2 linked regions of the Anolis sagrei genome follow. The protein of the gene in region 1 binds, or shares a complex with, the protein of each later gene. Links are inferred from orthologs where the notes say so. Each region holds a gene or a part of one and is shown on either strand. Other genes may lie near its edges. The genes, in order: ITGA2B and ITGB3.

Region 1 (8,065 bases):
CTATATCCAGAGAGCACTGTGGACTCAAACAATGATGGATCTGGACCAAACTTGGCACGAATATTCCATATGCCCAAATATGAACACAGATGGAGTTTAAGGGAAATAGACCTTGACATTTGAGAGTTGTAGTTACTGGGATTTATAGTTCACCTACAATCAAAGAGCATTCTGAACTCCACCAATGATGGAATTGAACCAAACATGGCATACAGGACTTCCATGACTAACAAAACACACTGGAAGGGTTTGGTGGGCATTGACCTTGAGTTTTGGAGTTGTAGTTCACCTACATCCAGAGAGCACTGTGGACTCAAACAATGGTGGATCTGGACCAAACTTGATACAAAAATTCCGTATGCCTAAATATGAACACAGATGGAAATCGGAGGAAATACACCTTGACATTTGGGATTTGTACTTACTGGGATTTGTAGTTCACTACAATTAAAGAGCATTCTGAAACCCACAAACGACAGAAATGGGGCAAACTTCCCACACAGAACCCCCATGACCAACAGAAAATACTTAAGGCCATCCAGTCCAACTCTCTTCTTCACGAGGGCAAGAAAATGTATTCAGAGCCCTCCTGACAAAGAGCCATCCTGCCATAAATATAGATAGATATGATTCTCTCTCACACACATATATAGTATCACAGATTTGAAAGAGACCCTTAAAGAAGGACTATGATATGTTGCATATTCCAGAGTAGGCAAGCCAGAAACTCTCCACAACAACACTGACAAAGAAACAGCAAGAAAAACTGTTTACTCACATGCATAAAGAAATTACATATATTAGAAACCAACACTTCCTCATTACTTTATTTTCCAGATCAACAGACTGGGCCACAGCAACGCGTGGCAGGGGACAGCTAGTATATAATAAAGTTATATGCACACTAAACACACACATTTTATGGGAAAACTGCACCAAACTTATGTTTTCATAAGGACAACATATGACGGTATTAACTATAAACAATATGTATCTTTTGTTAACTTATTTTGACAATTTTTCAATTGTAAATAAAATACTCAAAGTGTTGTAAATACATTAACATTATTATGGGAACTATACTGAACTCAAAGGAGCTATTTTTACTGTGTTACTGTGGCCCACATGGGGGTTCTCTGTGACCCAATTCTATTGTTGGTGGGGGTCAGAATGCTCTGTGATTGTAGGTGAACTATAAATCCCAGCAACTGCAATTCCCAAATGTCAAGGTCTTCCCCAAACTCAACCAGTGTTCATATTTGGGCATATTGAATATTTGTGCCAAGTTTGATCCATATCCATCACTGAGTGCACCGTGCTCTCTGGATATAGGTGAACTACAACTCCAAAACCAAAGGACACTGCCCACCAAATCCTTCCAGTATTTTCTGTTGGTCATGGAAGTTCTGTGTGCCAAGTTTGGTTCAATTCCATCATTGGTGGGTTCAGAATACTCTTTGATTGTAAGTGAACTACAAATCCCAGCAACTACAACTCCCAAATGTCAAGATTCTATTTTCCCAAAACTCCACCAATGTTCACATTTGGGTATATTGAGTATTCGTGTAGAGTTTGGTCCAGATCCATCATTGTTTGAGTCCACAGTGATCTCTGGATGTAGGTGAACTACAGCTCCAAAACCTAAGGACACTGCCCACCAAACCCTTCCAGTATTTTCTGTATTTTCTTGCAATATTTTCTTGCAAGCAAAGGAATTAATCAGCAATTGAACATACTGGAGAGGTTTGGAGAGAATTCACCATGATTTATAGTGGTTGAAGATACTGGGATGTATAATTCACCTGCAATCTAAGAGCACTCTGAACTCTTACCAATGATGGACCTGGAACTAACTTGGCAAACAGAGCCCCCATGACCAACAAAAAATACTGGAGGTCTCTGGGGAAAATTCACCTTGATTTGGGGGAGTTGTAGTTCACCTACATCCAGAGAGTATTGTGAACCCAAACACCGATGTATCTAGAATAGAATAATAGAATCATAGAGTTAGAAGAGACCTCATGGGCCATCCAGTCCAACCTCATTCTGCCAAGAAGCAGGGAAATTGCATTCAAAGCACCCCGACAGATGGCCAGCCAGCCTCTGTTTAAAGGTTTCCAAAGAAGGAGCCTCTACCACACTCCGGGGCAGAGAGTTCCACTGCTGAACAGCTCTCAAAGTCAGGAAGTTCTTCTTAATGTTCAGATGGAATCTCCTTTCTTGTAGTTTGAAGCAATTGTTCCGTGTCCTAGTCTCCAGGGCAGCAGAAAACAAGTTCGCTCCCTCCTCCCTATGACTTCCCCTCACATATTTCTACATGGCTATCATGTCTCCTCTCAGCCTTCTCTTCTTCAGGCTAAACATGCCCAGCTCTTTAAGCCGCTCCTCATAGGGCTTGTTCTCCAGACCCTTTATCATTTTAGTCTGGACCAGACTTGGCACACATACTTGATATGCTGAAATTTGATTACTGGAGGGGTTTGGGGGCAACTGACTTCCCTTTCTGGGAGTTGTAGTTCACCCACAACCAGAGAAACTGTGAGCTTCACTGATGATGGACCTGGACCAAACTTGGCACACAGAACCTACTGGGAGGGTTTGAGGGGCTGATTCACCATAGTCGGAGTTGTAGTTTATCCGAAAGCCAGAGAGCACACTGAACCCCACTGATGATGCACCCAGAGCAAACCTGCCTAATGTAACAACCTTTATGATGGAGTTTTTCTGGGTTAATCTAGCATGATGTGAATTATAGTTCACCCACAAACTTATTCATTTTGTACAATTTTTTAAAAATGACTTTTTCAAGTAACCCATGCAATGCCGGGTACCCAAGCTAGTACCCAGCAAACAGAAAAGTTCAGACATTCAGAAATGGGAGATAGGTAAAATTCAAAGCAGGAAGGTTAGTAGTATCCATATTTTTAAAATCTGACTGCTGTTTAGAATCCTTTGTATCCACGTTCTCCACTTTCCAGTCAAATATACACTTTCAGTTCTCCACATTCACACTGAACTGGAAGCAGACCTGCCAGACCTACATAACCACTTACCAACCTGTCTTGCCCTCCAAATATTCCACCTCGATTCCACCCAGGCTGATTGCAATGCAAAAAAATATAGGACTTTCTTAGAAAGCACAGTTCAATGTGTTTTTGCTCCAGCTTGTAAAGTGAAAGTACTCCCTTTAGGGTTATATTAATCCTAAAGGGAGCACTTCCACTTTAAAAACAGAGGAGTGTTATGTGTTCTAGCAGCACTAAGAATCATTACCGTATTTGGTAGGTGTGGATTCAGATGATGTTTCTGAAAAATGTGCTTCCTTTCCAAAGTCTTTCCCATCCTCTGGTCTTTCCCATCAGCCAATTGCGCAACCATCTATCCGCTCCTTTGGTCTCTTCCATCTCAAATGCATTTGGACTGATTCACCAGCTACCAAGGAAAGGCTTGTCATGAACAAAAGATTAAGCAATGTAAACGTTGTTTAAAAGCTGTTCGAGAGTTGATCTTGGCGAGAAAATAGCTTTTATTTTTCCTCCCAACATTTCACAGTTGTGCCTGTACCTTGGGAAGTCTGATTTGGCCACAGTGGTGCATGCTCTTGTTACATCCCGAATAGATTACTGCAACGCGCTCTAGGTGGGATTGCCTTTGAAAACTGTTCGGAAACTTAATTTAGTCCAAAGGGCAGCAGCTAGATTAATCACCGGAGCGTCATACAGGGAACATACCACCCCTCTGTTGTGTCAGTTCCACTGGCTGCCGATCCAGTTCTGAGCACAATTCAAAGTGCTGGTTTTGACCTATAAAACCCTGTACGGCTCCGGACCAGCGTACCTGTCCGAACATATCTCCTTATATGTCACACCTCAGAGCTTAAGATCTTCTGGGGAGGCCCTGCTCTCCACAAGTGAGGCTGGTGGGGACGAGGGACAGGGCCTTCTCAGTGGTGGCCCCTCGCCTGTGGAACTCACTCCCCGGGGAAATTAGGTCATCAACATCCCTCCTCTCCTTCAGAAGGAAGCTGAAAACATGGATATGGGACCAGGCCTTTGGTTAATCAGGCAGACTGACAAGGTAATGATGACCAGAATTTGGAAAGGACTATGGTAATGCTGAATGGATTTATGGATTTTAGAACTCGGTGAACGTTAGCCACTAGATTGGCTTTTAGTTGTTATTATATTAATTGAATGTTTTAACTTGTGGTTATTGTTGTTATGTATTTTATCTGTTGAATTGTTGGCATCGAATTGTGCCGGTTGTAAGCTGCCCTGAGTCCCCCCAGGGGGTTGAGAAGGGCGGGGTAGAAGTGCCCGAAATAAATAAATAAATAAATAAAACTGGAACACATCTGACCAACCACCTCTCCCCCACTTTTTTCACTTTACAAAGCATTATCATCTTTCCTGTTGAGAATTTAATCATCACATGATATGGCCAAAATATGACAACCTCAATTTAGTCATTTTTCCAACTTTAAGGACTGTATTTGCCGAGATACTAGATGTTGGAGCCCTTGGTGCTGCAGTTGGTTAAACCGCCGAGCTGCTGAACTTGGTGACTGAAAAGTTGCAGGTTCGAATCCAGTGAGTGGCGTGAGCTTCCGCTGTCAGCCCCAGCTTCTGCCAACCTAGCAGTTTGAAAACATGCAAATGTGAGTAGATCAATAGGTACTGCTTTGGTGGAAAGGTAACAGTGCTCCATGCGGTCATGCCGGCCACATGACCTTGGAGGTGTCTACAGACAATGCCAGCTCTTCGGCTTAGAAACTGAGATGCGCACCAACCCCCGGACTTAAATGTCAGAGGACAACCTTTACTTACCTACCTTTTCCTACTTTTTTTCTCCTTCTTCTCTTCCTTCAATTTCCTACCTCCCTTTGTCTTCCTTTTATTCTTCCCATCTTCCCTCTTTTCCTACTTCCCTTTTTTTACTTTTTCTTTTCTCCCATCCTCCCTCCCTCCATTTTAGAAGGGGCAAGAGTGAATGGCAGGGTTAGTCTAAGGTTAAGAGCAAGGCCAGGTAAATTACATTTGGGTGTGGGTGGAATTGGCCTGCGGCCCATAGTTTGGCCACCCTTGCTTTAGGGCTTTTAGGCCTATGCTCACAGATGAAAACCAGGACATGTGTCACCAGGTAGCATCAGAGCATCAGAGTGCGATGAAAATGGAAAAAGTTGTTGATGAAGAGATTGCCCAAGTTTACAAGGAAAGGCAAGATTCTGTCTTCTGAGTGCAAATTACGTAAATATTGCTGAGAATGGATGTGAACCATGTTATGGATAAACAAAGTGCAATAGTACATTTATGGTCCTTACACATTAAAGGAGCACGATTACCAGTGAAAGTCTCGTTTATATTTCAGTCCAAAACAATGATTAAACTAGATTTCTTATAGGATATGAAGCAAACTGAACCACCTCTAGAAAGAATGCCTCGTCTCCTAAACTTGCACACAAGGCATTGACTGGAAAGATCCTCTTAAATCATTAATATATTTAATATCGACTTGCCGTCAAGCAAATAAAAAATACTTGTTCATATCCTTAAAATAAACTACCAGATCTCAATTGCTGTTGGAAGGGTTTTTTTGTATTTACTTTTTACCTTTGTTACTTTTATTGAACAAAAAAAAAAGGGTTTCTGTGCAAACAGCAATAAAATAAAAAGGACACATAATCAATTTGGTGTACTGCGACAGCTCTTTTCGTCAACACAAGGCAGTGGTAAGGTCTCAAAATAAGCCAGTCCCTAAACTGTTCCTAAACACTGGAGACTTTGTGCCTTGAGTCAGCAATCTCTTTTTGAAGGATTGGGTCAAATCCTGCAATTTATGAAAACTAAAGTTTCTTCTCAGAGTTTAGAGAAAGCCATATCTGGGATTATGGATCATTTAGGTATAAGTAAATTTTTAAAGGTATAATAATAATTTTATTATAATAAACGCTTCCTACTAACACATTTAAACCGCTGAGCTCATGAACTTGTTGACTGAAAGGTCACAGGTTCGAATCTGGGGAGCGGCATGAGCTTCCACTGTCACCCCCAGCTTCTGCCAACCTAGCAGTTAAAAAAAATGCAAATGTGAGATCAATAGGTAACGCTCCAGCGGGAAGTTAACGGCACTCTATGCAGTCATGCCAGCCACATGACCTTGGAGTGAATGAATTTACCCACCACACATTTCTGTGGCCAACCTTCTCTCCCTTTCTCTCATCTTCCTTCCTTCTCTCCCTTTTCTTCCTTTTCGCCTTTCCTTCTCTTTCCTCCCTCCCTCCCTTTTTTCTTTTCTCTTCTTCCTTCCTTCTCTACCTTTTCCTTCCTTCCTTTGCTCTTTGCTTCCATCTTTCTTTCTCTTTCCTGCTTTCTTTCCCGTCCTTTCTCTCCTTTCTTCTCTCCCTCTTTTCTTCCTTCTCTTCTCTACCTCTTGCATGGGCACCGGCAGGAAGGGAGTCTTGCAACCCTCGGCCTTGCTGGGCTGGGCATGGGGCAGGCACTTTTCGAGGCAGGCCAGCGTCACCTCTTCTTTTTGCCATGGCTGTGGGCACCTTCCTGCCTGTTTGCCGGTTGGGCATGCAGGCAGGGTCACATGATAGGTGCTGTAATGTATTCTTGGTTTTGGGGTTTGTAAAGTTCGTTCCAGTTAATTATTTTTGGTCTTTTTGAGTGAAGAACATACATTGGTTTGGTTGGTCTATTGTGGCCGAATTTGATGTCAATTCATCCAGTGGTTTATGAGTTATGTTAATCCCACAAACCAACATTACATTTTTATTTATATAGATTTAGGGCTACGGCAGGATGAATATAAAGAGCAGGCTTTGCTTCTCCTGGATGTGCAAGAACCACCCCATTTCCTGCCCCACAAAAGACCCTCTATCAGTTTAGTGCAACTGTCACGCCTTTCCTGGTTGCAAAGGCTTTATCAAAAAGCAGACGCAAAGCCAACCACAAGTGATAGAGAATGGAACTCAGAAGGAATGGAAATAAATGGCACAACCATAGAAATATATTTGCCCCATGGACTCATTTTCTCCTTTACCTCTGGTGTTTTCTCGCCCATCACAGTAGTGTGGTTCTGAAATGTTATCTAGCTCTTCCTGGCATCTGGTTTTGCCTTGTACAAGCAACCACAACAATATCAGTCACTTACTTCTTTTATCTTTAACTAGCTTTGCCCTGCCACGCGATGTTGTGGACTATAGTAAGACTTTTTGAAATAGAGGTAGGTATCTGGACTATTATGAAAGAGTGGTACCTATTTATTCTGTTGCCACTGGGTCCGAACAAAATGTCTTTATTCTATAGAACACATACCTTAAACCCAGTGGGAAGCCGGGGTGCCCAAAGAGAGATTGTTAGAGACTTCCAGAAGTAATGGGCTTTAGAGTTCTTTAAAGGTACGAAAGGAACAAATCTTCAAACAACACTTTAAGGCTTTCTTATACTAGTCTTTAAGAGACTGGCACTGACTTGGTTTAACTATACTATCTCAACATGAGGAAGAATCCTTTGTAATCTCTCCCAGGCCGTCCATCACCCAGGCCTCGCTGGTCTGGGTAAAACAGCCGATCCCCAAATGCATCTGGAAACCGAGTAACCTACCAGACGAAGCTAGAAGATGCTTAGCTGGAATTCTGTGGTTCTGCAGTGCTGTCCTGTGGAAACTTCAGGTCTGTTTTCCCCTCTGGTGCTGTGAGGCTGAGAGGCTGTGAGCTCTCAGCCAGAGCCTTTGGGACCTTTTCCTTCCGTTTCTCTGGAACTGGATAGTCAGTTTGGACCCTGGATGGTCTTGAGGAATGAAGCCTTTCCTACGGAACAAACTGATTTGCGTCCTATAGGCTGGTTTCCTTGTGTGTGACTGCCTGAAAAATGGCCCCTTCCCTCCAAAAAAACCCAGAGGGGTGGGACCAGGGATCTTAACTATTATTGACAGGTGGCTTGCCCTATGAATGCAGCCAAAGGAAGCAAAGTCCCTGCAACTTAGGACTATGAACAAACACTCAGTGCAAAACACAAAATTGCAGCCCCTGGAACAGCCGTTTCAGAACACTATTCCTTTC
Region 2 (7,589 bases), about 2.2 Mb from region 1:
GGCCGCTTTGACGATCTGGATGAGGGCGAACAAATTGAAATTGAATCCAGACAAGACAGGGGCACTCCTGGTCAGTCGTAAGGCTGAACAGGGTATAGGGTTGCAGCCTGAGTTGGATGGGGTTACACTCCCCCTGAAGATGCAGGTTCGCAGCTTAGGTGTGATCCTGGACTCATTGGTGAGCCTGGAACCCCCAGGTTTTGGCAGTGACCAGGGGAGCATTTGCACAGTTAAAACTTGTGTGTCAGCTGTGCCCGGACCTTGGGAAGTCTGACTTGGCCACGGTAGTCCACGCTCTGGTTACATCCCGTATAACGTACTGCAACGCGCTCTACGCAGGGTTGCCTTTGAAGACTGTCCAGAAGCTTCAAATGGTCCAACGGATGGCAGCCAGATTACTAAAAGGAGCAACACTCAGGGAGCATACAACTCCTCTGTTGCACCAGCTCCACTAGCAGCCAGTTTGCTACCGGGTCTATAAAGTCCTAAACGGTTCTGGCCCAACTTACCAGGCGGAACGCATCATCCTTTATGAACCTGCTAGGAATTTAAGATCGTCCGAGGAGGCCCTGCTCCCGATCCTGCTTGCGTCACAAACACGTTTAGTGGGAATGAGAGACAGGGCCTTTTCAGTGGTGGCCCCTCGACTATGGAACGCTCTTCCTGGGGACATTCGATCGGCCCCCTCCCTCTTAACATTTCGGAAGAGAGTCAAGACTTGGTTGTTGGAGTAAGTGTTTGAAAATGCAAGGAAAAAGACATAGGAATTGGAACGACTGGACGACGAGATGGGACAATGTTTTTATTAGGAGATGCAAATGATCTTTGTTTTTAGTATTCTTGTTATGGTTTTATATTATGTGTTAATGTTTTAAAATGTTTTATGGTGTTTTGGGGCATCATATTGTTGCCATTGTAAACTGCCCTGAGTCGCCTGAGGGCTGAGAAGTGCGGTATACAAATACAGTAAATAATAATAATAATAATAATAATAATAATAATTCCCTGACAGATTTTGTATGCTGCTTCACAAAACTTTGCAACATTGTAAGTTGTAGCTGAATTAGTACCTATATGGCAATGTAGAAGGAGCTTTCAAGTCAGTTATCAACACGTGGCAAATCATTCATTTCCTTGGATTTTCTTAGGCAAAGAATATTCAGAGCTGGTCGCACCTACAGCCCCTGATTTTCCTTGGTGGTCTCCCTTCCAAGTGCCAACCAAATCTGAGTCTGCCTAGCTTCAAAGTCAGAGCATCCGATGCCTTCAGCATTTAGGCCTTGGGCATTGTATATCCCACCTATGTTCTCTGTATGGCTTGGATCTGAACACAAGGGGGCAGTAAAGGAGAAGCTGAAAACAAAACTTTCAGGTGTACATAACATATTAAAAGATGCAACTAATTACATAAGCAGCATATTCCCTTCTTCCCAATTATCAACGAATTCAGTTCCTTAATGTCTGGTGTTTTGGGTGATCTTTGTTCAATTACTTAAACTGCAGGCACCAAACCTTCTTCAATCAGTTATGTTTCTTTGATAAAAACTTTACAGTTGGACTCGTTTGCAAACTATGGATAATTTGGGGCTGATCCATCAAAGCTGGGTGGCTTATTACCTCCTTAGCATAATCTGTGTATGTTCTTGGAACCATAATAATAACAACAACAATAATAATATACTTTATTTATATTCCGCTCTGTATCCCCGAGGGGACTCAGAGCAGATTACAATATACACGGAAACAGTAATTATTATAGTAGATTGCCTGGGAGAAGTTAAAAAAGGGTTTTCCTTTCAAAAGAAAAGAAACAGTTGTCAAAGCCATTTGCCTGTTACTTGTGGACAAGATTAAGAAAGCTACCAGTCATTTGTATGATTGTCGTTGAAGACTGAAGAAGTATTTGTTTAATTTGTTCAACAATAAAGGACTTTGTTAAACCTTTCAAGCCTCTAAAGACTCTTCCAGAGGAAAATCCTTAGGGCCTCTCTATCAAGGCGCCCTGGCTTTCCGCTGGGCACAAAGTGCACGTCCTGTTCAAAAGACAATTATTACAGGCCCAGTGAGTGACAGCATTATTATTATTATTACTAGCTATCCCCTGCCACGCGTTGCTGTGGCCCAGTCTGGTGATCTGGAAAATGAAGTAATGAGAAAGTGTTGGTTTCTAATATATGTAATTTCTTTATGCTTGTGTTGATATAGAGATTGTCTAGTTGGCCTACTCTGGAGCATGCAAAATAGAATTGTCCTTGTTTAGTGGTCCCTTTCAAATCTATGATACTATATCTGTGTGTGTGTGTGTGTGTGTGAGTCATATATCTCTCTCTATATCTATGGCTGGGTGGTTCTTTGTCAGGAGGGCTTTGATTACATTTTCTTGCCCTGGTAAAGGGAGTTGGACTGAATGGCCTTAAGTATTTTCTGTTGGTCATGGGGGTTCCGTGTGGGAGGTTTGTCCCAATTCTGTCATTAGTGTGGTTCAGAACGCTCTTTGATTGTAGGTGAACTATAAATCCCAGTAACTACAACTCCCAAATGTCAAGGTCTTTTTTCCCCAAACTCCATCTGTATTTATATTTGGGCATATTGAGTATTTGTGCCAAGTTTGGTCCAGATCCAACATTCTTTGAGTCCACAGTGCTCTCTAGATGTAGGTGAACTACAATTCCAAAATTCAAGGTCAGTGCCCACCAAACCCTTTCAGTATTTTCTGGTGGTCATGGGAGTTCTGTGTGCCAAGTTTGGTTGAATTCCATCGTTGGTGGTGTTCAGAATGCTCTTTGATTATAGATGAACTATAAATCCCAACAACTACAACTCCCAAATGACAAAATCATAATTTTTGAGTGATGGTCATTCCTTGTGTAGTGAGACGTTTTGTTGCCAAATTTGGTGTGATTTCGTTCATTAGTTCTTTTGTTTTTAAGGTACTCATTATGCACTGAGCATTTTATATATAGAGATTATTATTATTATTATTATTATTATTATTATTATTATTATTATTAGAGGAGTTGGGAGGGAAAGCCACTCCATGTGTAATGCAGTTTGACATCACTTTAACCACCATGGCTCAATGCTGTGGAATTATGGAAGCTGTAGTTTTACAGAGTGTTCAGCCCTCTCTGCCAAAAGTGCTGGTGCCTCACCAAATTATATTCTGGGTTATATGGCAGTGTAGACTCATATAATCCAGCTCAAAGCAAATAATGTGGATAATCTCATCCGATAATCTAGATCAGTGTTTCTCAACCTGGGGGTCGGGACCCTTGGAGGGGTCGCGAGGGGGTATCAGAGGGGTCACCAAAGATCATGAGGAAACACAGTATTTTCTGTTGCTCATGAGGGTTACATGTGGGAAGTTTGGCCCAATTCTATCGTTGGGGGAGTTCAGAATGCTCTTTGATTGTAGGTGAACTATAAATCCCAGCAACTACAACTCCCAAATGTCAAGGTTTATTTTCCCCAAACTCCACCAGTGTTCACATATGGGCTAATTGAGTTTTCATGCCAAGTTTGGTCCAGATCCATAATTGTTTGAGTCCACAGTGCTCTCTGGATGTAACTGAACTACAACTCCAAAACTCAAGGTCAATGCACACCAAACCCTTCCACTATTTTCTGTTGGTATTTGGGAGTTCTGTGTACCAAGATTGGTTCAATTCCATTGTTGGTGGAGTTCATAATGCACTTTGACTGCCGGTGAACCATAAATCCCAGCAACTACAACTTCCAAATGACAAAATCAACCCCCCACCCCACCCTACCATTATTCAAATTTGGGCATATTGGGTATTTGTGCCAAATTTAGTCCAGAGAATGAAAATACATCCTGCATATCAGATACTTACATTACGATTCATAACAGTATTACAGTTATTAAAGTAGTAACGAAAATAATTTTATGGTTGGGGGTCACCACAACATGAGGAACGGTATTAAGGGGTCACAGCATTAGCAAGATTGAGAAACACTGATCTAGATTATATGGCAGTGTAGAAGGGGCCTCTAGCAGAGAAAGTGGGTGCCTCGCCAAACCACAAATCCCATCTTGCTGCATTGATAATCAAGATTATGTGGCAGTGTGGAGCCAGCCTGAGTTTGAACAAGGGAGACTCACTTCAGCCAAACACAGCACCTCCTTGTTCAGCAGAGAAGGCGGAAGAGAAGCCGCCTCTCCTTTTCTGTTTGTTTCCATGAACTTTGGAAAGAAAATGATAATATCTCAAACTGCATCTCAAACCCTGGCGAGAGGCGGGGGCTGTGGGAAAATGGGAAGAGGAGGGAGAGGTCTGGAAAGTGTCATAAAGGTCAGAAGGAGTCGGTCACTCCATCTCTCCTCCCCAACAAAGCAGTTCCTAAAGGAAAGAGGCGGATCCTGCTAAGCCTTGGTGACCTGAGCCAGGCAGAGAGGGAGGGAGAGTGGGGCGGGCACACAGCTGTTTCCCTGCTCTCTTTCAAGCATCTCTCAGGGACAGAGGCGCCCAGAAAAGTTTCTTCCAACTCTACCCCAGCAGCTCCTCTGAACAGGCAAAGCATGGGCACATTCTCCTCCTCTTCCACTCTCCTTGGAATGTGTAGCATGCTCTTCTTCACCTCCAAAGTCTGGGGTAAGTTGCACTTGAGACAAGGCTGATTATTGCATTTCTCATTTCTGTGTATGGCTGGGAAAGTTGGGATAGGGGAGAAGTTTGGGGTGACTCTCATCAAGAGTGTAGAATGAATGCAATTTGGTATCACTTTAACTGGAGTTTCATGCAGTTTGACAACACTTTTAACTGTCAAAGAAAGTTGGTGCCCCACCAAACGACAGATCCCAAATTGCTGGGATTTGTAGTTTTGGCGAGGCACCAGCCACCGTTGACAGAGATGTGCCACAGACCTTATTTAATTATTTACAACATTTATATGCCGCCCTTCTCACCCCAAAGGGGACTCAGAGCGGCTTACAAGATATATCAATATCTATATCTCTATCTCTATCTATCTATCTAAATAAATAAATAAAAATGTAATGTTCGTTTGTGGGATTAACAGAACTCAAAAACCACTGGACGAATTGACACCAAATTTGGACACAAGATACCTAACAACCCAATGTATGTCCTTCACTCAAAAAAACCTGATTTTGTCATTTGGGAATTGTAGTTGCTGGGATTTATAGTTCACCAACAATCAAAGAGCAATCTGAACCCCACCAACAATAGAATTGAACCAAACTTGGCACACAGAACACCCATGACCAACATAAAACACTAGAAGGGTTTGGTGGGCATTGACATTGAGTTTGGGAGATGTAGTTCACCTACATGCAGAGAGCCCTGTGGGCTCAAACCATGATGGATCTCGACCAAACTTGGCACGAATATTCCATATGCCCAAATATGAGCACAGATGGAGTTTGGGGAAAATAGACCTTGACATTTGGGACTTGTAGTTACTGGGATTTATAGTTCACCTACAATCACAGAGCATTCTGAACCCCACCAACGATAGAATTGGGCCAAACTTCCCACACAGAACCCCCATGTGGGCCACAGCAACGCATGGCAGGGGACGGCTAGTCTATATATATATATATATATATATATATGCAATATATTATATTATTAGCATAGTGCAATATTAGTATTAATAACGGCGTTCCATGCAGTCATACTGGCCACATGACCTTGGAGGTGTCTACGGACAACGCTGGCTCTTTGGCTTAGAAATAGAGATGAGCACTACACCCCTGAGTCGAACACAACTGGACTTAATGTCGGGGAAAACCTTTACCTATATTCTACTATACCATTATATTGTAATATTATTAGTAATATTACATGCAATATAAATATATAATTGTAATATCATATTATTAGGCAAAGGCAAAGGTTTTCCCCTGATATTACGTCCAGTTGTGTCCGACTCTAGGGTGTGGTGCTCATCTCCATTTCTAAGCCGAAGAGCCGGCATTGTCCATAGACACCTCCAAGGTCATGTGGGTGGCATGACTGCATGGAGCGCCGTTACCTTCCCACCGGCGCGGTGCCTATTGATCTACTCACATTTGCATGTTTTCGAACTGCTAGGTTGGCAGAAGTTGGGGCAGACAGCGGGAGCTTACGCCGCTCCCCGGAATCGAACCTGCAACCTTTCGGTCAACAAGCTCAGCAGCTCAGCACTTTAACCCTTTGCACCACCAGGGGCTCTTACAAGATACATATACATACAATATATTATATTATTAGCATAGTGCAATATCAGTATTAAATATTATATTGTACTATACCATTATATTGTAATATTATTAGTAATATAAATATATAATTATAATATCATATTATTAGGTAAAGGTAAAGGTTTTCCCTTGACACTAAGTCCATTCGTGTCCGACTCTAGGGTGTGGTGCTCATCTCCATTTCTAAACCGAAGAGCCAGCATTGTCCATAGACACCTCCAAGGTCATGTGGGTGGCATTACTGCATGGAGCGCCGTTACCTTTCCACCGGCGCGATACCTATTGATCTACTCACATTTGCATGTTTTCGAACTGCTAGGTTGGCAGAGGTTGGGGCTGACAGCAGGAGCTCATGCCGCTCCCCGGAATCGAACCTGCGACCTTTCGGTCAACAAGCTCAGCAGCTCAGCACTTTAACCCTTTGCACCACCAGGGGCTCTTACAAGATACATATACATACAATATATTATATTATTAGCATAGTGCAATATCAGTATTAAATATTACTATATTGTACTATACCATTATATTGTAATATTATTAGTAATATTACACGCAATATAAATATATAATTGTAATATCATATTATTAGGCAAAGGTAAAGGTTTTCCCCTGATATTACGTCCAGTTGTGTCCGACTCTAGGGTGTGGTGTTCATCTCCATTTCTAAGCCGAAGAGCCAGCATTGTCCATAGACACCTCCAAGGTCATGTGGGTGGCATGACTGCATGGAGCGCTGTTACCTTCCCACCGGCGCGGTGCCTATTGATCTACTCACATTTGCATGTTTTCGAACTGCTAGGTTGGCAGAAGCTGGGGCTGACAGTGGGAGCTCACGCCACTCCCCGGATTCGAACCTGCGACCTTTTGGTCAACAAACTCAGCCACTCAGCTGTTTAATCCACTAGGGGCTCCTAATAATTATATTATTAGTAGTGTCATATTGCATTACATTATATATATATATATAACAACATTTAAAAATATTTCTTTTCATTGAAAATATTACCAATAGGTTCTTGTGGGTTTTTTCGGGCTATAGGGCCATGTTCTAGAGGCATTTCTCCTGATGTTTCGCCTGCATCTATGGCAAGCATCCTCAGAGGTGGTGAGGTCACCACCTCTGAGGATGCTTGCCATAGATGCAGGCGAAACGTCAGGAGAAATGCCTCTAGAACATGGCCCTATAGCCCGAAAAAACCCACAAGAACCTAGTGATTCCAGCCATGAAAGCCTTCGACAATATTACCAATATTTTGTATTTAGAATATTTGTATTTCATTATTCAGACAGAGGCCAAAGGGGGCGCTAAAGAGAGAAAGATGGTCCATTTTATGGGGGAGAGGGGGTTGAAGAAGTGAAA

Evidence for each region.
Region 2: the proteins of ITGA2B (region 1) and ITGB3 are in contact, whole or in part, in a cryo-EM structure (PDB 8GCE), measured with the Homo sapiens proteins. The link is inferred for Anolis sagrei from reciprocal best matches to the Homo sapiens genes ITGA2B and ITGB3. Residues at the interface, in NP_000410.2 of Homo sapiens: Gln49, Phe52, Arg72, Trp141, His143, Asn145, Glu152, Ala153, Glu154, Lys155, Pro157, Arg184, Phe191, Tyr197, Glu199, Phe202, Pro217, Tyr221, Phe222, Phe262, Asp263, Tyr265, Tyr268, Thr290, Trp293, Thr294, Gln315, Met316, Ala317, Tyr319; in NP_000203.2 of Homo sapiens: Ser188, Pro189, Tyr190, Tyr192, Ile193, Ser194, Pro195, Pro196, Tyr204, Asp205, Met206, Arg242, Asp243, Pro245, Lys279, His281, Ile282, Ala283, Leu284, Asp285, Arg287, Leu288, Ala289, Gly290, Val292, Gln293, Pro294, Asn295, Asp314, Tyr315.

Annotation. Positions count from the first base shown.
Region 1 is NC_090026.1:47,949,538-47,957,602, forward strand, and holds the start of ITGA2B (integrin alpha-IIb), read right to left. Parts: upstream 3,199-8,065; 5' UTR 3,054-3,198; intron 1-3,053. UniProt on the Homo sapiens protein: Integrin alpha-IIb/beta-3 is a receptor for fibronectin, fibrinogen, plasminogen, prothrombin, thrombospondin and vitronectin. It recognizes the sequence R-G-D in a wide array of ligands.
Region 2 is NC_090026.1:45,735,265-45,742,853, reverse strand, and holds the start of ITGB3 (integrin beta-3), read left to right. Parts: upstream 1-4,330; 5' UTR 4,331-4,540; coding exon 4,541-4,613; intron 4,614-7,589. UniProt on the Homo sapiens protein: Integrin alpha-V/beta-3 (ITGAV:ITGB3) is a receptor for cytotactin, fibronectin, laminin, matrix metalloproteinase-2, osteopontin, osteomodulin, prothrombin, thrombospondin, vitronectin and von Willebrand factor.